Oreochromis niloticus: one gene and its partner. The protein of the gene in region 2 purifies or fractionates together with the protein of the main gene of each other region. This does not show direct contact. Links are inferred from orthologs where the notes say so. Each region holds a gene or a part of one and is shown on either strand. Other genes may lie near its edges.

Region 1 (11,789 bases), on a different chromosome or scaffold from region 2:
TTTTCTTCTAAATTGGACTGCAATCTTAAGAATTGTAAATGCTTCAAGATAAGTGTACATGTCTGATTCTTTCGGTGGAAGTGTAGCTTTTGTTAGTTTAAGGTGGTTAAACTGGGTGGGTTTTGAAGTGTTTAAAAAATAGCTGGCAATAGTTCTATTTAATGTTTTTACTTAATGTCACACCATCACACCACAATGTTAGGACATCTACGGCTAGGCTTAGGGTGGCTTGTGTTCTATTACTTCGTATAACGTAAACACTGCCCCCTACTGGTTAGCTTTATTTATACAACATTAAGGCTAGCCCGAGGTAATTCTCCCTGATGCGACTTCGTTTTTAAGAGAACCCTTTAAAGGTAGGTTTGGTCAAACCAACTCTTTATGAACAGTTCTTTTTATTTCATTCTGTCCTTTAACCCTACTTTCAATTCTCGATGTCGTACTGTTTTGTTAATCCTAATTTTTTTGTTTGTTATGTTTGTATTCTAACCTAAGACTCTTTTGCTAACTGCTAAACAAGCTAAAGTGTAAAACATTTATTCGCTTTTTGTTTGTTTGTTATGTTTTTTTTTTTTATAGCACTGGGGTTAGTTCGTTAAAGTAATACAAATGCAGAAAAGATAAACAGATACATTCAACCTCCCTCCAGCTGCGAGTTTTCTCAGACTTGGCCAACTTCACCCTTCTCAGAAATACCCAGTAAAGCCATTACACTGTCAGGCGTTGAGAAGAGTCATTTCACACCAAAGTTACAAATATGCAGAATTAATTGTAACTTATTTAAGCTAGTTTTGTATGTCCACTTCCATGGTTAGAAATTGCTGCCAATCCAGCTTCAGTACTGTACAAGTAGATTACTGTGGTCTAGAGTAGACTGGGTGCAGTTTTCTGTCTGTACACCTGAGGGCGGAAGAGCTTCTTCGTGAAACCTTAAACAATCATAGACGTGTTTATTTGATTTTCGTCGTTTCAATTCAACGCGCGATACTGATATTATAATTATTTTTCATAGATCACGTAATTATCATATTATGAAAACAATTATACCGCCAGGAAAGTGATAAAAATGAATTTAAGACGCTCCTTCTTAACGACCGCTGATTGGACTGCAGACGACCACGTGATCTTGAATATCATTAACCGGCATGCGCTGACCGGCGTTTCAGAAACTAAAGTGTCGTTTTATATGGGGCGCCGTTTATAAACTGAAACATGGCGAGCATAGTTATATTGTGATGTTTCGGAGGTAAAACGTCAGTAAAACCTCGACCTGTCCTCTACCATTTGTTAGAAGACGACTGTGTTCTTCTTTGTAACCATGAGTTAGAGTTGCAGTAAGCAGAATGACTCCCTTGTGTCGGATGATATGTGGGTATCGCTTCTCGGCCTTTTGGCTAAGATCAAGTGTAGTATCTGTTCTTATCAGTTTAATATCTGATACGTCCCCTATCCGGGGACCATATATTAAATTGATTTTTGGAACAGGGAGATGGAATAGGGGCTTGCTCCGTCCACTCCACGCATCGACCTGGTATTGCAGTATTTCCAGGAACGGTGCACCCCCCTGAAACTGTGGAAAAGAAGTGTAGTTTGATTCTTGTGTTCTTGCTTAGAGGTTTGTTATACACAATATATATGTCTGCGTGTGAATATATGGACATTGTCTTTGTACTGATGAAAGACAGACTGAAATGTTGCGACTTAATACCTGTAAATAAGTTGCATTTAACTGTTCTGAGAAATACTAAATCCTGCGACTTGGACTGACACGTGGACACACACTTTCTATGGGAAATCCCCCCCCCAAAAATGTAGTTTTGAACTGCAGTTACATTATTCTAGCTTGAATCCTGCAGTTACCTCTGTTGTCCACTAGAGACCGATAGAAGTCTGTAAAAACTGGAGGCTGCCACCTACAAGGACTCATGTTGATTATAGGTTTAACTATTCTCTTTCTCTACATACTGCAGCTGTCTTTTTTCTGTGGCTGTAAATTACATCTCTTGAAAAAAAAGCACAGTTTTTTCTTGGCTTTTTAGCTAAAATCACCTGTATTGTCTGTTGTTTCCATTTGTGGATGGTTAATAGTACAGAAGATTGTTTTTCTGTTTTTAGGATTACATGAAAACATTTTGCAACAGATCTTTTCTATATATAATAAATCGTAGGATACTAATGGTTTTGATGATTTATAAAACAGCAGTGTGGTGTAGCCCTGATAGTGTGGATCCTTAGTGTGTAAAGAGTAGATATCTCATGTAATATGTGTGAATGAAAATCCAGGGACTTTACGAGAGTCCTCCATTTATGGCTATGATCCTGACAAACAAGATTAATACATTTCTTTCTCCGACTGACAGTACTGTTTCCCAAAGGAAAACATTTACACAACATATGTGTACCAGGATGGCCGAGTGGTTAAGGCGTTGGACTTAAGTTCCAATGAGCGGATGCTCTCGTGGGTTCAAACCCCACTCCTGGTATAATTTGGAGCCTCATGTGTGTTAAGCTGGATGGTATCTATGGGAGCAACATATGGAGTTTTTAGGAATTTGCTGTGAGCAATATCTTTCCCACAAAAAAAGCTTTAATGCTGAACCAAAAGGGAAAAATGGTTAATGGAAAAACTCCAAGCTTTTGGATTAATTAGTAATATTAATGGATATAAAAAGAAGCTCACTGTGAATAAAATGAAAATCATAAAATTTTGAGGGGGTCACCTCCAGTTAAACTCTTTTCAACATAAAATTGCAAAGAATTTGGGTATTTCATTATGTGTGTGTATGGAATTAAAAAGAAAAAGACTAAATTCTTACAAAGCAGCTTGAAGACAGCTGGGCTTGTTTGTGTTAGCTGGCTTGACAAATCCTAAAACTCAGTCAGAAGTGGTTCCTCAACGTTCTTTTTAAATAGTTTTCCTGCTTCACGCTCTGTGCACAATCATAAAAAGGGTTTTTCCGTATGTTTCAGGGTGCAACGTATAACTAATGTAGAGAAACTTAGCTTGCATTAATGATACCGAATAAATCTAGTTACTTCACCCAGTCACATTACAAAGAAAGAAAAATAAAGATGTCACATAGTGAAAAGAGACTATTTACCCAAAATTATTTTCAATTTAAAAGGCTTTAAAAGGGCTTAAATGACCTTCAATACATAATTGTATTATTTTGATTTACATTAGACACAACATCCCAACATTTTCAAAAGACCGTTTTAAATATTTTTAGACCAACTTTAATCAGAATGTCAAATATGGAAAAAAACTGAAAGTCACTGTTAAACGACAAGCAGCTGTCGATTTATTTAACTTCGGATCCTTGCTCCTTTCATATCAATTATTAATAATAATAATAATAAAAAAACAAACACATGGTGCTGCAGACACAGTAGCTTTAATCTGCAATTTAAAGAAGGCAAAGAAAAAGAAAACATATTCTGGAACCTGCTATCAAAATGTATTTGAACTCCTTGAGCATTTTCACAGTAATCCACTGTAGTCTGCAGTTAAAACACTGCAAACATTTATCCAGAGATCATGAGCAGTCCATGGCCAAAAAGTAACACTTCTTCTGACAGTTTGCGTTTATTTCTGTGTGATGGGGAATGAATTCTGGTCCATCAACTCTCCGACTCTCTCCTGGAGTGTTTGAACCACCTCTGCAAGAATGAACACGTGCGTGTCGTCAAGATCCTTGAGGATGAATTTCTTTCCCAAGGCCATCGTTTCATCCAGGTACAGGAGAAATTGTTTCATGGCAGGATCACTAGTGCATACAGCAAGAGAAAGTTAAAGTTTCGGCTACTTAAAAACAGATTTCTGTGAAACTAGCTACAAATATTTATTGGCAAAGTTACAACCTTACCATTCAACAAGGACACCTTTGTGCACGTTGACCATATTGATGCAGAGAAATGGACAGTCGAAGCCGATTAAAGAGCTGAATACCTGCAGCACAGTAAACAAACCGACAGCTGAAGGCCTCAAGTAGAAGCAGCTTTACGGCAGCCTAAACCCTTATTAAGGCACTAAACAGTAAGATAAACGCTTCACATGTTTTCGGACATTTTAATAATATTTTTATTACCATTACAACAAAGAAAATACTTGTAAACGTTTAAGTACAGCGTATGCTAGCTCTTTGTTTTAGCACCGGTTAGCATTAGCTCAAAATAGCATGGCCACGGGCATGTTCTGCTACATACCGCGATCTCAAATATCTAAAAGAGCAAACTTCACACATATACATATACATACCTGTCTACAGTTAAGCGAAGGATTAACATAAAGCAACAAACAGCCTTTTATCTACCCGAGATCTCCAGCTGTTTCTGCTAAGTTTTCAAAGCATTGATGGGTTATGTAAGGTGTGCGCCAAGGGACAATCTTCTGATGTCCAAATATCGCGCTAGCATGTTTTAAAAGCTTTTGCTGCTTCTGTGCTGCTTTTCTGTCCTTGGTAAAGGTTTAATGCTTTATATTTTAGTGCATATCAATACTGTGGGTTTAAAAAAAGCCTACGTTGTGTATAGATGAGTGAGTATTATGAAGAAAATAATGCAATATTTGTACCCAAGTGCATGAAATGCATTACAAAAAACTGCATCATGACATTGGTGCAAAATGCAAGTTAAGATCCAGTATAAAATACAGTACTGTGCCATTTTCCCCCTTCTGTCACTAACAGGAAAACTATGACAACTTGATACCATATATATACACTCAGGACCACTTATAAGGTACAACTACTCTGCTGCTCCTTAAGGCAAATATACAATCAACCAGTCACATGGAAGTATTTTAGTGCACTTAAGCATGTAGACATGATGACCAAGATGACCTGCTCAAGTTCAAACTGAGCATCAGAATGGAGAAGAAAGGTGATGTGGGTGACTTTGAATGTCGGGTGATTGTCGAGTACTTCAGAAATTGCTGGTCAATTGAGCTACAACCATCTCTAGGATTTATAGAGACTGATCCAAAAAGAGAGAAAATATCCAGTGAGCAGGAGTTCTCTGGGTAAAAATGCATCAGAGCAGAATGGTCAGACTGTTTGGAGCTGATAGGAAGACAACAGTAACTCAGATAATCACTTTTTTATATCCAATGTATGCAGAAGAGCATCTATGACTGCACAAAACTTTGAACCCTGAAGCAGATGGGCTACAGCAGCAGAAGAATAAGGTAAGAATAGCAAACTAATGTTTCTGAGGCTGGTTTAATGGTGTAGGAAATGTTTTCTTGGCACAATTTAGGCCCCTTAGTTCAACCCATTTATTGTTCTGGACCATGTCCATCCTTTTATGATAACAGTGTGCCCATCTTGTGATGGCAACTTCCTGCAGGATAAGACATCATGTCACCAAGCTCATATCATGTCATACTGGTTTCTTGTATGAGTTCACTGAACTCAAATGACCTCCAGTGACCAGATGTCAATCCTCTTGAGCATCTTTGGGATGTGGTATATTCCTATCATGGATGTGCAGTTGACGAATCTGCAGCACCTGTGTGATGGTATCATGTCAATATGGGCCAAAATCCCAGAGGAATGTTTCAAATACTTTGTTGTATTTTGTACTTTGTATATAGAAATGCATAGATGACTCATAAACCCTCAAACGTTACACATTTATTCATTTCATTGCCAGCATTTAGGACTGCTAGTGGCAGTGGGGGCTGCAAACACATGTATTAAAATTAATTTGCTTGATCAGTCCCATACAACTGTATGTGCAATCTGAACTAAAGGTATTAACTCAGGTCCACTTGAGGTAAGGCTTGGGAAAGAATATGTTTTGGCACATAAGATGATAATCACACTATAGTTAGAGTAAAACAAATACATATAAAAATAAAGTCTTAAACCTTTGCTCTGGTCAAAAGTCAAGTTGCATGAGTGGCAACAAAATGTCAGTGCATTTTTAAGTAAATACAGTAGATAATGAGCATTATGTATCCCATGATTAGCTGGTAATAAATCTAAAATAAAAGGAAATCTAGATAAAATTGTAATGTGCTTAATTTACTTGTAAACATAAGAGTTGTTTTCTTTCAAACTTAGCTGATGTACAATTAAGAGACCGATCTCAGTGGATGACTTAAAAAAGACCCCAACAACAAAAAACGCACCCTGCTATCGTTATCACAACTGACAGGTTTCCACATATATCCGTGTGTAAAATAAATTTGATTTCGTTAGCTATACTGCAATTGCATTTGTGGTGCTTCATGTGAATGTGCAGTTATTTCTCTGTTTGGTTTGGAGTGTGATATACATTTCAAGTATACAGCAGGTGGTCTCAGTGTCATTGTTTTTATAGATTTCTGTCAGTGGGTGACGTAGCTCTGCAGAGCGTCCAGGATGAACTGGAGGCTGCGTTTGTATAGAAATGAGTCCTTCCTCTCTGGTTTGCAGATGTTTAGGTGATCTACGTCCACTTCAATGAGCTCACCAATCCCGAGATCTGAAACCACAACACGATGAGACGCAAGACATTGCTTCAACTATGTGTTTTTTTTAAAATATTTAAGCTGTACATTTCAGACATTACAGTATTTGGAGTTACATACTTGCTGACTGCGTTGGTACCACAAGTATCTTGATCATGGGTCCAATGTTCGTCGGTAGTGTCTCTGCAAAGCTCAGCACCTTGAAATCCTTTTCTTTGGCCAGGTTCAGGAAGTTATCATTCAGGCTGCGCAGAGCTGGTGAATCTTAAAACACACACATCAATTCACATTAGATGCTGAAAGAGTTTCATAGACCACAGAATTCATCATATTCACTGACCTTTACAGAGTTCTCTGACTTCTATGGAGGGGAAGAGAAGATATCTGACATTGACAGAGTACTCTGCCATGAAGGTGCCGTAGTGAGGAACACTATAAAACATAATCCCTTTGGTGTTCTGTAATAACCCATGCATGTCTGGGTCCTGTGAGGCATCCAGCAGCATTTTCTTCACAAGCAGTCCTGCAAGAGAAACCAAATGCAAGAGGATAGATTAGTAATTTCTTTTTTTTTTTTTTCAAGTTTGATTCAAGGGATCTGCATAAAAGTCCAACATGCTTGTGGAAGGAAAGATGTGGGAGAAATACCTCCCATACTGTGGGCTACCCAGACCACAGGCCTTTCTCCAACTCCTGCCAGCTTTAACTTCTTTAGCAGCTCCTGACTTCTGTAGGCTAGAGACTTCCTGGAGAGACAGATAGTCAACCCTTTAATCTGTTGGAGTAATTAATCCAAGGGCACCTGACTTTGCAAAAATATTCTGTTTTACCAAGAGTAGCACCTTAATCACATGTAGACGTATAAAGAAACTACAGATTTATCGTTGTTTTTTTTGTTTTTTTACCTCTGATTCTCAGCAGGACACTGGGCCATCCAGTCACTTAGATGACTGTCATACTCCACCGACAGCACTCTCAGATTTGGACAGTCAGCAGCCAACCATGACTGACAATAAACAGTGATAAAACGACATGGAAGAACACTGAGATAAATCTTAAGCTGTGTGAGACCTAAGAGTTTCACAGAGACGACAACACACTTCTAAGTCTTGAAACACTCAATTTCACTGTAGGAGGAAAACACTGAAATAATCCATTAATGTAATTAGAGGAATCAGGTGCCTTTGTTACCTTTGGCCAGCACTCTGTATAGTCATCTTCGCATTTGGCTGCCTCCTCTTCCTCTAACGTATTGCGGTCCTTCTGCCTCCACGTCTTAAAAGCTGCCCCTAGAATCCCGTGTATGAACAGCACGTCTGCTTTGATTGGCTGACTGGAAATTGAAAACATTGTCAAAGATGATGGTTTGGTTATAACAATAAAATAAAATGATGTTAATGCATTTATGTAACAACTGAATTTGTTTTCCTACTTGCTACGTGTTTGTGGGTGCAGGATATAGACACCATCTGGGTATTTCTCTTTTACTGTCTCCCTGTCCAGGTTTGCAAGAGCACGAGCTGCGTGAGACGCCTGCATGATATGAGGGCACTGCATCATCTCAGCCAGGACAGACACCCAGCCTGCAGGTGTTTTATGGGTAAAGTAGGGGAAAAAAAACAGGAAAGTGTGAGCAGTACGATAAAATTTATAAGTTGGGGTGGATAACTATAAAAGTAAACACATTTTTTTGTGATGGTGACAATCTAATCTCTAATTGAAACAAGCACAACATATATTTTAGACCTTACTTTCATAACATCTTTAGCGCACCCAGTCAGGATTACACATAATCAGAGCTGTCTCCAGTTTATTCAGATTAGTTACAGACTTACCGGACTGGGCTATGGCCTGATGGGCACCTTCATTGAGAGCCAGGTTTCCGATAATGCGAACAATGTTCCTCTGAATCTTCATAGAGTCTGTTCTGAGGTGATAAACCCTCTGGAGAAGCTGTAGACCTCCGTTGGCAACTATGTGGTCACAGTGGCTCCTTACCTGCAGATCGCAAAGTATTAACCACAAGGCAACATCCAGACAGGGGGCGCATAGAATTGACCTTAATACACTGCTACAATGACCGCAACGAGTAGTAAGTAAGTAATCAAGCCACCGACTCCAGACTAAATCACCTTTGGATGCACAATGATGATTACCTTTGAGTGTTGTACCAGTGCCTGCAGACAGAAGGACTCCACCTTCTCAGAAGGAACAGAGGTGAGGCTCTGGGCATAAGGCAGCCCATTGCCTCCAAAACTCCACAGACCACCCTGGAACAATGAAGCGCACGTGTTAATGACAGGATATAGAAACTAGCTTTTTTCTTTCTTTTTCTTTTTTTTTTTTTTTGCACATCCCAGTGACTGTTGTCCTCCTGTTTAGACCATCACCTTCCTAAAGACTGTACATGTATGTGTAAATCTGTGATTGTCACCCTTTGTGCTGCCAAGGACTGAGTGCTCTCTCTCAGGGCCAGTGAGGTAAAGTACCGAACACATTTGTCCACCTCAGTTTGAGGCAGAGATGCCAAAAGCTGCCTCAGTCCGTCCTCCGCTGACAAACCCTGAGAAGATCACATTATAGTGAGATGCAGCACATCTGTGAGGTAGGCATTCAAATGGCAAATATCCTAAAGAGTAGATTTGAGTACCTCCCCCAAATCAGGCAGTGCAGGTGGGTGACGGAAAAACCTCAGGTCTACCTGAGGCGTCCGGGCCAAGCCCACTGCTGTCCGATGGTCTATAACCTGTGCTGCCGTCTGGTACTGGTAATCTGGATTATTCAAAACAGGTGTGATCTAAGACCAAAGCAGGTCTGTGTTGTGTATCAAATTAAAGTGACAGGAAACTTTTAGGGTCCTTTACCATGCCAGTGGTGATTGTCTGCAAGCTCCTGAACAGCCTCTAGTCTGATGGCTTTATTAGCTGACTGTGTCTTCTTCAGCAGGACCCACAATGCCACCTCATGTGGGTCAGCATCCACATGACTGAAGTGCTCTAAGACACAAAATTACAGAACAAACTGACCGTCTGAACATTTAGAGAATAAAAATAGAGATGTGTTGTACTAATTCCTCTATTTGGACCTTTTAGCAATTCTAACTACAGCTAAATGGTTAACTACCAGTGTCTACTGCGTCACCTTTTACATTATTACAAAAGCTAAGGAGCTACAGTACAAACCTTGCAGGAGTGAAACTTGTGTCATCAACTTGGCAGCTATTAATTTGTAAAAGGTTAAAGTAAACAAAAGTCAATGTAACTTTTTGTCTGCGGATTTAAAACTACAGGTGCCGAAACAAAACAAAAAATCTCAGACCTGTTTATTCCACTCACTTTCACAAGATCCACACCACTGTACAAGCTATGTGGCATTCAAAACAGGATGTGCATGTGCAAAGGCAGGTGTTTCCTTTGGTCTCTGTGCACATACGTCACATAAAATTGACTGAATGACTACAGTTTTCTGAGCATAAACACTTGCCCTGCTATTGGCAACAAGTTCAAGAAGTTAAGTTCAAGAAATATTAGGGGTGGCATTATGGTGTATCTATGTTATTGGTGAATTGGTGTTTGTTAGATTCTCACCATCGAGTGATTGCAGTAAAAGCCTCGAGGATATTTCCACAAACCGTCTTGCTGCTTTATGAAGTTCCCTCCTTGCTTTGTGTGTAAGTCCTGGAAGAGATGCAGAAAAAACAACTAGCCACTACTCCCTTGACAGAATTTGGAATTGCATTTCTATAACATTATAAAGAAAACAGAAACCATTTAGAAATGCTTTCCTGTAGAGGTGGCTAATTAATCAAATTTGAGTGAGATTAATTTATATTTCCATTTTTATAATAATGATTCTATTTTTTATCTTTCATTATAAATCCATCTCATCCTTACAGCTATAGCATTTGCACCTCCCCGAAAGCCTAAACACACTCCCTGCTATACTGTTGTGTGTTAAGTTCACATGTACTTATTTTAAGTTAAAAGTGAAATTAACGTATTATGAGTGAGTACTGCTTAAAATGATCATGATCATATGTTTCAGCATAATCAAGCAGCTTATATTTGAATATAAGTTGATTGTGAAAGCTTCCACTAAAAAGGTAGAGGAAGTAAAATCACCCAACACTAAATGGCCCAAAGTCCTGGCAGGAAAGGGAAAACAGGAAGAATGAAGGCAGATGTCACTGCCCCACTGAACATAAAAAACTCAACACTTTCTTATACAAGAACAAAATGTAGCCACTCAGCATATTTGTCAGATAATGCCCTCCCACAGGAGGGAAGAAGGAACATGTCCAAAAAACAGTAAATTTAAATTAAAAATCTAAACAGTCTTACTACATTTATGGGCTAGTGGAAATATGTACATATGTTATACAGCAAAAGAGCTTAAAATAACAGATTTTGTACAAGAAGAAATACTGCAATGCCGAATGGCGGATGCTACATCTGAACTTGTGTATTTTCACAATTAAAGGTCTAATTCGTCCCAAAATAAGTCTGACACTGGATGGAGGTATGTAGAAACAGAATGTGAATATCTTGATGCAGTGAGAAAATGTAGGACTACAAACAGAGTAGTACAACAGGCAAAAAGATAAAATATGAGACTCTGTGATGAATTTATAAATGTACTGTTTATTCTGGGATTGTCCTAGAAACACCAGCCAGGGTTTGGTGAAAAGTTGTGACTGAATCCAGCAACATAGGGTATGTAAATATATGAAAAGACACATTATAATGTCTCATGTTACCCATGAGGTTGTTTAGGATAGCATTAATTACCTCCAGTTAGGTTGTCTTTTTCATCTGAAGGAGTGGCCCTCAGATAGATGTACGACTTGTTCTTCTCCTGAAGAATTGCACTAGTGTCAATGGTCACAGCCTTATCCAAGGCTATCATCTCATAAGTAATAAAAAGACAGCCCCTGCAGAAAGGAGCATGTTTAATAAGCTATGGGACAGAGATCATTCTTCTCTCACACGATGCATAAATCAGTCTTTTAATAATGTAACTTACCCCAAGACAACTGCGCCAGTTACTTTAGCAACTTTCCCTAAATGTCAGCGAAGAGGAAGATCTTTATTTTCAATGTGTTTACCGAAATTTAGTGTACAAGATTGCTGATTTTGTCTAATAACTTACTTAAATCTTTCCACTGGAGCACTTTCTTCACACCGGGTGGCCCAGCTGTGCTCAGCCTCCGACAACGGATCCAGCGCAGAGCGGCTGCGGACATCCTTCCCCCGTGTGCCCTCCCAGATGTGCGTGTATTAACCAGACTGCTGTCCAACCTATTTGACAGAGTCACAGACGTGAGGATAGTGTCTGA
Region 2 (13,866 bases):
ATCACACTGCTGCATGATACTGAAGCACAGTGTCACCATGTGAGCCCTGAAGACAGTGTTTTTGCTTCACTCCACCTGCTGAGTGAACAAACCACAAGTGTACTTCAGCTCACAGGCAAAGTGAATGCTGTAGACGTGAAATCAGTCAGTAATGTGTGTGGATTGTTACTGTGTGAATTCATAAGTGTTAGGAAGACGTTGGTTTTCAGATTTGACCACACAGGCTATTAATAAAACCATTACTACCAACCCCAGCACATCTCTAATCCAAACAGGAAACTTCAACATGAGCATACGCAGCTTTTATTGCTGTGGCATACAAAATAATAACAATACAAAAACATTCACATGAAATAAATTCTCACATGTTGGTTTGTTTTTCTTTTTCACACACATAAATAGACGTTTTTCCCCACAGGCTCACAAAGTTTAGTCATCAGTGAAGGAGGACCAGAGCCAACGCTACTGACAACAGCCCTCTGCTGTAGATCAATCGCTGGCCATCTGGACACAGCAGCATTTTAGAGTTAACGATTCACATACGCTGGCTACAACTTCTAAAATGTCCTAAAGTCAACCACACGTGAGGGAGCCTCTGCTGGTTATAGACTTTTTTCCCTTTTCTTTTTCCAGTGGACAGTCCTGAGAAATGCAGGAAGCTGAGCCATGCAGTGGTGATCCTCGGATTTAACCCGGTCCCTGGTCAGAAAATGAGCTTCTTCTTCATTGCAGCTGAAAATAACACAAAGAGTTTTGTTATAAACATTATTTAAAGAAGAAGAAGAAGAAAAAAACAAAACTTAAAAAACCTAAGTTAGATTAGATAGACACGTATTTCTGTTCCATGTGTATGTACGCCACATGCTCAAATCAAGCCTATAATGAGCAACACGCTACCAAGAGGCACCAAGGTTTCTGTTATAAATGTTACAAAAGTCAAAGCTAGATATTTTCCAAACCACAGAGGAGCTGGAAAAGCTTTGAACCTCCCAGTGACACTAAAAGGTTCCACTTTAGTAAAACATACCCTCCCACTAGCCACGAAACTGTGGGCGCGTGTTCGAATTCAGTATTTTCTGAATTTGTAACTGCAGCTAAATGTACAGCCAACACCCGCTGAATTGCTAGGTTAGGTTTTTAACTTCAGCGAGAAGCAGTCAAAAAACTCACAACATGCTATAAAAAAAAAAGAAGAAGAAAAAAAATCTGGTCAGTGTTGGAAGTTCTACAATATTCAGCCCCTTTAAAGTCTGCCTCAAACGAGTGTCGCAGACACCTCAGTTTTTGCTGCTCAAACCACAATATAAACAACATGACTGAGAAAATATTTAACCCAGAGTCAGGGTGGTCTTTTATGGATTAAGGACACACACAGTGGATTTAGTGCAAATATGAGATCATATCCGGTAATTACTATTCTCCAGGCCTTCAATTTTTCTCTTGAGCCCGACTGTCTCCTTCTCCCTCAAAGCCTCGGCCGAACAGTTTGGCCGGGGGAGCTGGGGACCAGGAGTGGGACCAGGCCGATTGCTGAAGTACCTCATCTTTAGAGCCTGCAGAATAAAGGAAAACACCTTTTTATACATCTGTGGCATCAAACATCAGAGTTGTGTCTCTAATTTGATGTATCAAAGATGCAAGAAGCTGTTTTTTTTTTCTTATTATTGAGATGTGTAATAGAGAAAGTGGAAGATGTGTGATTAATGCAGTTGTTGAACAATGCAGAAGCACAGTCCTTTAGTTTATGATTAACGCAAAATGAGATAGTTCAGGTTTTCTCTCTAGTATTATGAGTTATTTAGTGCCTTGCGGTGACTGTTGTGAATTGGTGCCATGTAAATAAAACTGAAGCTGCAATTTTACGATAGAGCTCAAACAGAAGGCAAACATCAATTCCTGTATCAGACTGACCGAGCTTTTATGTCAGGGATTGTCACAGGTAATGAAAACAGGCTCTGTGCCTAGGACTGGAGAAGAAACCAGTTTTCGCTGGGAGAGCACCAGCTATGCAGAGTGCATTCACTCGCCTGGATCAGACAATAGTGAGTTTTACTAACATACTGAGACTTCTGAGAAAGAACAAACAACCTGAACAGTGTGCCATCACACCCCTGCTTACACCTACTACTAAGAAGTTCTCCACACTACACATTTCACTAACACAATCGCTGCTCACCAACACTTCTTCTTTCCAGAGTTAAATCCTTGTGATGTTCTTGTTTCAAAATAATATTGAAATTTAAAAGGTTATAATTTGGACAGAAGAAACTTCGAAGGACAAATTCCAACCAGTGGGAGCACTGGGAGTCAGAGGTGCACAAGGAAGCGGCATTGAAGAGGATAACAGCTACTTAACTCGGGTACAGTTTTTGCTCACAACTCGTCAACCCAAACATCCCCAAAAAACATGTGCACTTAAAAATGAGCAAATAATAAGCATTTATATTTATTTATTCTTCCTAGCACAAAGCTGTGTGGCAACCACATCATGACTTGTACGAAGGTGAAATGTCTACTTTTTGTTTTGCAAGTCTTGTAAAGTCAAGTTTTACAAGTCTATTAGTGGTTTATCTTCGCATTACACTCTTAAAGTAAAGGACACTCTTCACCGGCTGATCACAATGAGAGTCGTACTGCCTGAAGCGAGGCCTGTAATTCTGAGGGAGCTACAAATGAAACAACAGGATTTCAGTGCTGAAGCCGATCCAGCAATCATCAAATAGACTGCAGTGTAAGAATGCTTAGCTTATTACCTGTGTAGCTGTGGTCCTCGCTGAAGGGTTAAAGGTAAAGAGACCTTGTAGCAGCTCAAGTAAATCGTCTCCAGCTGCACTAAATATATGTTCCAGCGGTGTGCCGGGGAATATTTTGAAGGACACATAGTCTGGTAGACTACTCAAGCCCTAAAGAGAGATATAACAATACAATGTAAGCAAGAATCCCCACATCTCATCAAAATCAGGCCAAACTGTAAAAAAAACCTAAAAAACAAAACAAAACTTCAACAGCAAAAAAACCCCAAACAAACCCACAGGCCACGTTTCTTCTGTGGGTGTTCCCAGAGCCTCAAAGATCTTAGTAAGCTGGTCGAGATCCGAGTCTCCAGCAAGGAACGGAACCTACAGCAAACGGGAGTGTAGAAACATTGACATTAGCATGAATATGAAAATAGCTGCGTCCCCTGCGACTACGTGCTCATATCTTTGAAGTGAGGTTTATTTACCCGAAGCAGCAACTCTGCCAAGATGCATCCCACTGCCCACATGTCAACACCCACACCGTACATCCTGGCACCAAACAGGAGCTCAGGTGATCGGTACCACCTAGGAAAGACATGAATGAATGAACAACAAATAGAGACATATTTTACAGACCTTGCAACCTGGACTTCTTAGTATAATTCTGTCACATTTAACCAGTCCTAGTTTGGTTAAATGTTTTATTAAATCATGGAAAACATTTAAAAAAAATATTGCTGCTCTGAAGAATTTCTAATGAGACTAACTCTGGAGAAGTTCTGTATTTTTAATGAGGTAACATGGAGACTGATCTGACCTGGTAACAACTTGATGCGTGTAGACTCTGCTAGGACTGCCAAAAGACTTGGCCAAACCAAAATCAGCCAACTTCAACACCCCACTGCCATCTAACAACAGATTATTGGGCTTCAGATCCTGCACAAAAAGAGAAAAAAAATTAAGAGGAAAAGGCCCAAAATATAAATTACAAATTAGACATGGGCATATTTATGTGTGAATGCTGCGCACACGTTTTCTTACCCTGTGTAGGACCCAGTGCTGGTGCATATACTCTAATCCCTGCAGAGTCATGAGGATGTAGGCTTTGATGTTGGCTGGAGTTAAGACTAAACTAGTGTCTTTGATGATAACCTTAAAAACAACAAAACAAAGACCAAGGGTCATACGTACAGCCAGACTTCTCATAATTACTAACATCCATGCATTAATTCATGTTTTTTCATAGCTCTAGGCCACACACACAAAATTAAAATACACTTTTTCTGAGTGGACAAGACAATCGAAAACATCTGGAAAATATCCGTCTGAAGAAATCATCCAAGATAGAACAGTTCAGCCTTCATAACAAGAACCATCATCACCTTTGAATGCAGGAGTCTAACTAAAGCTAACCTTGCAGTCCAAAAATATATAGGCTTTTATAATATAGGCTTTTAGCACTGGTAATAAGATCAGCATCACATTTCATCCTCATGTGCATCCTGTTTTTCTGCTGCCTGTAATGGCATCACTTCACTGAGCAGCCAAAAGCAGAGTGATATTGATTATTTTTAAGTGCGTTTATCTTATTTTGCATCATTCCATTAGGGTCTAAAGTATTACTGGTGGGCGCCTATTTGGAGCCTTTTTATGCTTAGATAATCCAAATAAAAGCCAGAGTAACACCTAGCTTAGCACTGGTGACACTTTGTTTGACCTCTTGTTCATGCTTTCTTGGCTACTCTACTTTAGTCTGACCTTACACTAAGAATGTGAACAAAGGGTAAAATTTCCACCTGCTGGCCCACAAGGGAACTGCAGAATTAAAAAGAAAACTTTTTTTTAAAGAAATGTTTAACAGATTAGAGATGACTGACAAATCTCCAGACAGAAGCAGCCATAATGCAAAACATGACATCTTAGGGTTTTGTTACAAACAAATAAATAAATAATATCGTACAATACTGTACCCTCTAGGCAACACTGTACTGGAAGATGTTTCTAAAAATAAAATAGGTAAGTCTAAGATTTGGCAGTCTGTTTGTGACTTTAAGAGCTCTTAATGTTATATTATTAATATTTAACTACAGATAAGAAATGTATTCTATTTACTTGTTCACACTGTGCTCAGATCGGCTGGTTGTTGTGTTTGTGGCCTTCCAAACACCCCTTTCCAACAGAGAAGTTATAGAGTTGAGGAGAAAATAACATCGACACTTATTTCAAGTTTTTTATCAAAATACTATTTCAAGTTTAATCTCAACATTTTGAATTATTTTTTGACACAATTTTTTTTCTTCCTTGGTGACTAAAGCCGAGAAGTAAAATGTATCAGCTGCTCAGGAAGAAATAAAAGAAACAGTTTGTAAGACGCAGTGCCGACAGGTCCCAATGAAGTCTGGTAACATGTTGCACTTCATTCACCAAATTCACACACAAAAAACCCCCATCAGAGCTATGCAAAAGAATGTTTACTAAACCCGAAGCTGTGAACAGATTAGTCTTCTTAGCCAAAAACCAGCAGCATGTAAAAGTAAATGTGTGAATGGAACGAGATTAAAGCCTAAATTATTATTTGCTCACAAATTGATGCGAGAATAATAATATTTAATGCAATTGTTCTTAAAATGAGGGGAAAAACCTTCCTGTTTTTAAGGAAATGTTTATTGTATTATTTTTTTTATTCATAGTTTATTTTTTGCTTGAAGATTTTAAGGATTTGGAGAACTGATGTATATGTATCTGTGTAGGTATATAGTCATTGCAGCTAGTAATGCAGTATGTATTACATTGTTTTATGTTTTCACTTTAAGATATTCACACTGTAAATGTGTCTTATAACTTTTCTTTTCCTCAATGTTTACTTTTCCTTGTTATTCTGAGATATAGGAACAATTATTAAGATTTGTTTGACTAAAAAAAATCATAAAGTCATATTTTTGGAGACGTGATATGAAATGTTTTAATGCTTTTACTTAACATATTTACACTAATGAACAGTGCAGCACATTGTTATACTGCCAGTTGATTTAACCCTATTTTATAATGTCCCATAATGCTTTTATTTTTAGTTACAATTGTGAATGAAATGCTCCCACTTACACAGTGACAACTGAGCACTACGAAGCACCAAAGCAAAAAAATTGTGTTGAGAATTTTTTATTTTTTTCCCCCCAATCATTAAAGCCGTAAATCGTAAAAAATTATTAAGGAAGTGGGAAGCTGCTACCTATTCTATCCATCTATTTACCCCTTTTATTTACCCCCACAAACTAATAAAAAAGTGAATATTTTTTAAAAGTGCACAAACGCTGTGTATGAAATCCCTCCACATTTCTATTTAGGTCTCTACTCACCTCCAGGTCTGTTTCCATGAAATCAAACACCAGGCTGATGTTTGATTTATGTCCAAAAGCATCCAACAGCTGCCACACATATAAAACAACAATATTTAGGTCAAAAAATAAATAATCTGCACAATATAGAAAGATTAAGGTATCTTCCTATACAATCGATACCAGTAACACAAGATTATGATGATGTGCGATGAACATTTAACTACCCCGATAATGTTTGGATGATGGAGCTCCTGCAGCAGTTTTATTTCTCTGAGTGCAGTCCGATTAATTCCTATTTTAAAAAACATAAATACGTAAAAAAAATTATATATATAAAACGGATGAAAATGAGCTGCAGCATATTGATAGGACCCAGCACTTACCATCTTTAGCCTCAGTCCTGTGGCCAACCTTAATCTGAAGGGAATAAACAGGTAAATGTTTACTGCGGCTCATCAACAAACAGTGTGAATGGTAGTAGTAAATAGCTCGTTTCTTTTACCTTTTTAATGGCAACTATTGTGTCGGTCAGTTTGTCCCTGGCTTTGTACACTGTGGCAAACTGCAGAGAAAAAACAATATTCAAAAAACAAAAAGTTTTAATTTTTTTTAAACTTATTTTGGTGAAATTTACTGGCACAAGAAGCAGAGCAGCATGAACCACGGATGCTTTGTTGACATTAGCAACCAGCTAACGCTTTGTTAGCTCGCCATCGTGCTTTCTACGCAATAAACACAGCGGTCTAAGGACGTGCGAAGAAAAAAGCAAAGACACATATCTCTTAAATATTTTTCCCCCTACCTGACCCTCTCCGAGGAAATCCAGCTTCTCGTACCGCTTGGCTCTGCTTTTCACATCAAGCGCCATGATAGATAACTGTCAGTGTCGTGCTGAGGCACTTCCTGCTCTGTTAAAGGACCGCAAGTAGTCTTTCCGGGTTAGAGGCTTTAAATTTAAATTGAACAACAGCGACACCTACCGATTTTATTTATCCAACACCACCGCGAACCAAATTATAGAGCCAAATAAAAAAACCTAGCATGATTTATTTATTCTGGATTTGTTTTACTGGATTTTTAAAGGTTTGTTAAATTACAATAATAATATTAATAATACTAACAATACTAATACTGCTACTACTACTAAGATTAATAATAAGTGAAGGGGAGATCTAATCTCAGTTCCAGCCTCATTCGCCTCTGTCATATCTAACATTTTACTGTTATGATGCAACATGCAGTACTGTTATTTTCCTCACAGTTTGTCTTTTTTTGCCCCCTTTATTTTTCTTTCACCAGTTAGCAGTTTGACATCTGTCTCCTGGGAGTCTCTTCTGTCAGTTAGGAAGGTTTTGTGATCCATGCACCACTGAGCACATCTCTACATCTCATCTCCATACGCAGTGAGATACCCTCACATCCCACAGGATTAGGCATGGCTCTTCTCCTTTGACCCTCCTCGTCTGCTGCCTCACACGCACATACACACACACATGCACGCACGCGCACACTCGCCACTGACTTTCATTTTTATGTTAAGTTTGACAAGAGGGGTGTGAAGGATCAGCAGGCCTAATACACCCCTCATTCTCCTCTCAGATGTGTGCACATTCATCTGACAGCTCCCAGATGTGAGTGACAGGACCGTATGTGCCCATGCAACCATGCAGAGAAGAGAAGAGGAGAGAAGAGAAGAGAAGTGAAGAGAAGAGAAGAGAAGAGAAGAGAAGAGAAGAGAAGAGAAGAGAAGAGAAGAGAAGAGAAGACTTTACTATCTTATAATCAAACTTTAGGGACACACGTGGGGGGAGGGGCTCAATGTGGGACGTTAACGACCACAGCTGACATAACTCAGATCCATTTACATCACTTGCTTTAAAACAAATATGACATATTGATGCCTACTAATTCTGCCATGATTTAAAGGCATTCTTGCCTCATTCCCCTCAGTGTCTCGGTAAGACTGCGGATGAAGAGAGACATAAGTGATTCTGGTAGCGTTTGTATAGTTTGTCTCTGTAAATCACATGACACTATGGGTAACATTATGCACAACAATAACTCACTCTGGTTATGTGTCACATTAGCAGATGGTGATGCTGTTGAGCGGGTGTGTGCATATTTGTGTGTGTGTGCGCGCGCGTGTTTGTGTGTATACCTCTGTTTGACGGGCAGGAGGAGAGTGAAACCACAAAGCTGTTTATCAAACTCATAGGAAGTGGGTGTTGTTAAGCGAGGACGTGTCTCGCCACCACATCCTGCTGCTGGAAAGCAGCTTCAGATGGGACAGTGTTCACACAATGTACAGTAAACAACAAATGCAGACCAAATGTCGTTTATCTGTGTGTATGTGTGTGTGGTATGTGGCCACCTAATTCTTCCTCAGAAACAATTTTTACACTGATTGCACAGCTATGATAATCTGCTCATTTGTGATGAGTGTGAGGAGGATGCATTTGGGGTGACCTGTTCAGAGATGTCAAAAAATTAAATAAAAATGTATTTGCCCTTATTAAAAATTTGCATTTAACACACATGCTGTTACACACACTCACAGATTTCTTTTAAGTCACTGCCACCCAAAAACCATGCATATCTCTTCAAAATGCGGAATAGAAGATGTGTTGATGGAGTGAAATGTTGAAGTGCAAAGGCAATTTTTCTGCAGAAGAGCAGTGTCACAATCTCAAGTTTGCCTCGAGAATATGCCCTAAAATGTTGAATGATGCACACCGGATGTTCTTTTTTGGTCTTTTTTGTTGGTCATCATTTGTTCTGTTATACTTTTTAGTGATTTAAGTGTAGTGTTTTGGGTCAATACTTCAGAAATGAAAGGTTAAAAAAGATCTCTGATGGTGTCACCGAGTGCGTAAGGGATGAATGATTCAGCGCTATCACAGTCAGTGCTGTATCACACACCTGCTGCTGTAGGTTTCTGTCCTCTTTTTACTCACAGAGTCTCTGGGGAAGTGGCTGCGTTCTGTCATCTAGGGAGTTTTCCTCTTTCTCTCTTTCTTTCTTTATGTTTCTAACTCTTTCTCACAGGCCCGCACACACACATGCACACACATACACCACACACACATACACATGCAGCTGTATCTGACCACATGCACAGTTATAACACAACAGGATGTTGTAGGGTGGATGTTTGAGGTGTGAAGGTTCACACAAGCCGTGACAAACAATATCTGTTTCTCAGAACAAATTATTCATTATTCATACGTCTAATAGATGCTGACATTTGTATTTTTACTTTTTTTTTTTCATCTCTATTTTTTTATTGAAGCACATAAGCCAGGTTTTCCACACCATTTTTTTTAAAACTACTGACTTACTGCAAAAGCATCAGCCACACATGGTCCACAAACATGCTTCACTTTGCCCCTTTCATTCTCTGCAGATGTCTGTAGTGACAAGACAATAAGAAAGCAGAAGGACAAACAGAAGGACAATCATTATCTTCCGTGCTGCTGTGTGTTTACAACCAACGCAGAGATTTGTCAAATTGGTGCTGTCAGTCCTGGGCTGCATTGTTAGATGGCAGAGCTGTCAGTCTGAATTAATATTAGGGCAGAAATGTTTTTGTTCACCACTGTCTTCCTCAGGCATCTGAAGCATCTGCGTACACCGGGGCTTGTGGACGACTTCAAGATGAGCCCACTTGATAGCTGAGCTCGTACGGAGCCAACATTATGATAATGTCCTTATAAGTAGCAGGGGGATGGGCGCAGTGTCATCTCTTCACATAGACAGAGCCAGCGGGGAGTCCACAGTCAACTGCATTTAGGGCGTCTTTGTTGTTGTCGTAGCACCCATCTGTATTGTTGTTTCATTCTGGTCTGTGTCTTTTCTCAGACATCATTATCGCACTCATTAGAAAAATCTCTATCGCAGCCTCAAATGGGGAACAAAGTCTGGCAGTGTTTCTTTTCCTTTCCTGTGTTTGTCTGCGTGTTTGTGCGTGTGTGCGCATCTTCTCTTGAATATGTAAGTCTGGCTGTATTTGCAAACTACATGTGGCCACTTAAATCCTTCAAAGAGGCTGAACACTGTGTGCTGAGCTCCCTTGTTTTAATGCTGTACATACAGAAAATATTCCATTGTTTGCCTTACCTCTTATATAGGCTTATTTGTCTTCTAGTTTGCAGCAGGGTGTTGTAAGAGAACTTTGGGATGAAAGAACATGTGAAATGTAGCCCCAAGATTAATTCAAAACCCATGATGGCCACGAGCACAGTGAGGGAAGTCATAGTTGGAAGGCAAAGGAAGAAAAGGCCCCTCTGATTTGTTTGTGCGTATCAGGATCTGGAGAGATGGCCACAGTGGTGTGTTATCCAAGGAGCCATTTACTTCATTAACCCAGTCAGATCACCGAGGCCTCAGTAATCAACCTTGTCACACGTCCCATTAACTTCTCATTCCATCAGCACGGCCCTCGCACCTTCTGACACACACAGACATGCACATGTGTGCACAGATGCACTTTGGTTACGCACATTTGTGCCTGCATGACACACAACTATGTTTCTTTATTTTGTTCCCCCTCACTGATGCCCATATACACACTCCTTCTCCCACTCTCTCAGCTCACCCCATTACCTCCATCAGTCCCAGGGGTCTCGGAGCTCTGATGAGCCCGCCGCTGCCCTGCGAGATTAGTGGACTCCCAGAGAGAAGCCCCTCGCTGGTTGACCGTGAGTCTCGGCTGCTCACAATGTCAGCTCAAGGTTAGTGTGTTCACTCACGGCGCAGTCAAGCTGCGTAGCTCTGTTATGAATACAAGTGCGTTATTAGTATTTTATCTCTGCAGACGCCAGCGATTATAATATTTATAAAGATCCCCAAATCAATTACTGCCATTCACCTTTGCTTTCCCTCTCAGCTTTTCTATCTCTGCTTTGCTCTCTAGTGGCCCCCCACTTGAAACATTTGCCAAAGCATTTATTAATTAACTTGTTTTTTTCTTCACTTCTTCATCTCAATCTTTCAATCTCCCCTCTCCCCATTGATCAAACCACAGAGGAGCCCAGCATTCGGCTAAAGTGGTTTGAATTCACTTTTATGCGCCGCACATCAAGCACAGGGAAGCATTTACTTTGCATCCCACTTGAGGGAATGAAGATCTTCCACACACAAAATGGCAGGGAGAGATGAAGGAATGAGGGCAGCTCTCGGTCTGTAATAGAGCGTCACATAAGTGGCTGGATCCGTAAGACAGATTGATCTTTTTATGTTGAACTTGATGAGCATGAATGATGCACCAGATTTCCTGTAGCGGTGAATAGAGATGAAAGGATTATCCAGATATTTAGATCATTCAGGCAGGAACGTTGCCCTGCACTGCTGTCTCTTTTCTCCCCATCATAATTCAATATTTACAGTTTAAGCTGGAAAACTGCTCCCTCTTGGCCGCCTGTATCTGGTATCCATGGAAACAGATTTGAGAAGAGAGTGCTGTCTTTATGTGTCCGGGCGCGGGCGCGCGTATATGTGTGTGTGTGTGTGTGAGAGAGAGAGCGAGAGTGTAATGTTTACTGATACACTGCAATTGATTGGTTGTTGGGGAGCAGCTGTTGACCCCTCTCTCTCAGGGGTCTCTTTGTGTTCTTGCACACAACCCAGATCAATAGACACACACGGACGTGAACACAGACACACACAGATTTTGCTATTTTAAATTTATTCTAGAGTCAGTTTCTGTTTCTCTCCTCCAAAACCCATAAAAATCACCCCTCCCCAGATTAATTCAAATTTAAAGGTAGCCTTGACTCGTAGCCATAAACCTGAGCCTTATTTTAATGAATATGTAGAGCAGATCATGCCAAATCTGTTTAGAAATCCTGGGACTGTTGCTTTCACTGTCATAACATTTGGTCTACATAAAGATAAAGTAAAACACCGCGAAATACACACACGCTATATTTTAATACCGGCCCCATGCCCTTATATGGAGAGATGATCAAAGGCGCTGTTATGAAAGCGCTCTCAATATAATAAAGACACAGACACACAGACATGCAAATGCAATTGTGAAACTAGTCAATGTGGCACAGCAGGCAAAGTGCAAAGCAGTAGCATCCACACTGCTGATGGCATTGCAGATTTTTAACTACAAGTCTGAAACTGTGCCGAGTGTTTACATGCTACTGAGCACACCACCCTGGCTAATGAAACATCTCCCAGTGGGTGCTCTACACAGGGACACATGGGCATGCATGCACTCACAGACACACACACACACAGACAAACACACACATGCCAGGGATGAGTAACAGCTAGTAACTGTGGGGCACCAAGAGAGAAAGGTCATCTGACATCATTTGCATCGCTTGTTAATGTTAAAGAATGTTTTCCATACAGGGAAGGTCAAGTTTTGCATGGAGACCCGATATAAACATAACTTCTGACAAAGATGAATTAATGGAACAACTCCGGCTTGTTCATGCCTGGTTGATGTGGGTTTTCCATCCTCCTCTAATTTGACATATTAAGGGGAAAGCACCAGCACTAGAACAACACACACACACACACACACACACACACACACACACACACACACACACACACACATGCACACCCCACTCTAATCTGCCTTTTTTTTCACCCACTCAACCCCACCCACGCACCCACCTTGTCTTACTCTGAATACAACGTGTCAGCAGCGCAGCGTGGAGTGGCAGCGTTTGTCTCGCTGAACACACATGTTGAATTAGAATAAATGAATACCACGCTCACCAAATAGCACCATCGCAGCTCATTCCAGTAGTAGTGGTTTGCGCACAAGCCATTTCCTATGAAGACAAAGGTGATAAACTTTATTTATAGTTCAGCCCACGGGCTTGCAAAATGTTTCATGTCAAACACCCCCAGAGGATATGCATTAGAACCACTACTGATAAGATTTATGTATTAAGTTATGACTCAGCAGAAGCTGCCTATTCTGGAGGAGCAAAGTGAAGGCAATGATCACAGCATCTCTAATATTCTAAATCGGTTATCTTTTATTCATTTTGACTATATGAAAAAAGATAGCTTTTATTGTAACCCCCGACCCTGATAAGGATAAGCTGAAGAGAATGAAGGGATGGAGCTTTTTTTGCCCTTAGTGCATCTGTTATATCATTAAGGCTGTTAATTGTGTGCTCTTTTTTTTTAAATTTGTTTTCTGATGACAGAGCTTTTTTCATGTTTAATTAAGTGAAGCCCTTTACTTTTTAAATAAAATGCTGCTGCTGACTTATGCCCAATTGTTCATGCAGGTGCCCGGTTAGTGTTCAAATGAAGCCACAGTAGCTCAAAAACTGATTCAAATCGGACTGGCCAGATGTTGAGCTGAATTAACATCTGTTGTCTGGTATAATTGCTCTGAGACAGTGATTCTCAAACTTTTTCTGGCTTGCCCCCACTTCAGAAGTCAACAGCCCCCAAACACCAATTATTAATAATAATAATACAAAAAAACTACAACTTTAATGAAACTATAGTGAATTTAAACATCAACTCTTAGTTTGCCTACAAAATGATATTCACTCAAACTTATCTGTAGTCCATATTTTACCCCTGTTTGTTTATGTCCAGCCAATTAATCAAATCCCACAGCTCTAAGACCATTAAATATTTATTTATCATTACAATTTCAGGCATTTTAAAGCCAAGCTCAGTAGACTACAGTTACATAGTATCAGATGCATATTTCCCTTAAAATATTTATTTCAGTCGCAGTCTCTTCTGCTCTGTATGCAGGTAGGTATCTGAACCTGTTGAAAACCAGTGCCAAACATGTTTCT

Evidence for each region.
Region 1: the proteins of cdk7 (region 2) and gtf2h5 purify together in Homo sapiens (affinity purification with mass spectrometry; 7 studies listed by BioGRID and IntAct, with this or other methods). This does not show direct contact. The link is inferred for Oreochromis niloticus from reciprocal best matches to the Homo sapiens genes CDK7 and GTF2H5.

The regions. Positions count from the first base shown.
Region 1 is NC_031980.2:11,766,546-11,778,334, reverse strand, and holds gtf2h5 (general transcription factor IIH subunit 5), read right to left. Parts: upstream 4,322-11,789; 5' UTR 4,259-4,321; intron 3,950-4,258; 5' UTR 3,902-3,949; coding exon 3,867-3,901; intron 3,768-3,866; coding exon 3,587-3,767; 3' UTR 3,525-3,586; downstream 1-3,524. Other genes in the region: protein SERAC1, read right to left, coding at 6,332-6,468, 6,575-6,718, 6,795-6,977, 7,103-7,200, 7,360-7,460, 7,646-7,787, 7,887-8,037, 8,290-8,452 and 8 more. UniProt on the Homo sapiens protein: Component of the general transcription and DNA repair factor IIH (TFIIH) core complex, which is involved in general and transcription-coupled nucleotide excision repair (NER) of damaged DNA and, when complexed to CAK, in RNA transcription by RNA polymerase II.
Region 2 is NC_031977.2:17,306,585-17,320,450, forward strand, and holds cdk7 (cyclin-dependent kinase 7), read right to left. Parts: upstream 7,034-13,866; 5' UTR 6,945-7,033; coding exon 6,879-6,944; intron 6,639-6,878; coding exon 6,579-6,638; intron 6,494-6,578; coding exon 6,460-6,493; intron 6,369-6,459; coding exon 6,301-6,368; intron 6,164-6,300; coding exon 6,095-6,163; intron 3,891-6,094; coding exon 3,780-3,890; intron 3,675-3,779; coding exon 3,556-3,674; intron 3,324-3,555; coding exon 3,224-3,323; intron 3,120-3,223; coding exon 3,033-3,119; intron 2,904-3,032; coding exon 2,754-2,903; intron 1,554-2,753; coding exon 1,415-1,553; intron 733-1,414; coding exon 704-732; 3' UTR 286-703; downstream 1-285. UniProt on the Homo sapiens protein: Serine/threonine kinase involved in cell cycle control and in RNA polymerase II-mediated RNA transcription. Cyclin-dependent kinases (CDKs) are activated by the binding to a cyclin and mediate the progression through the cell cycle.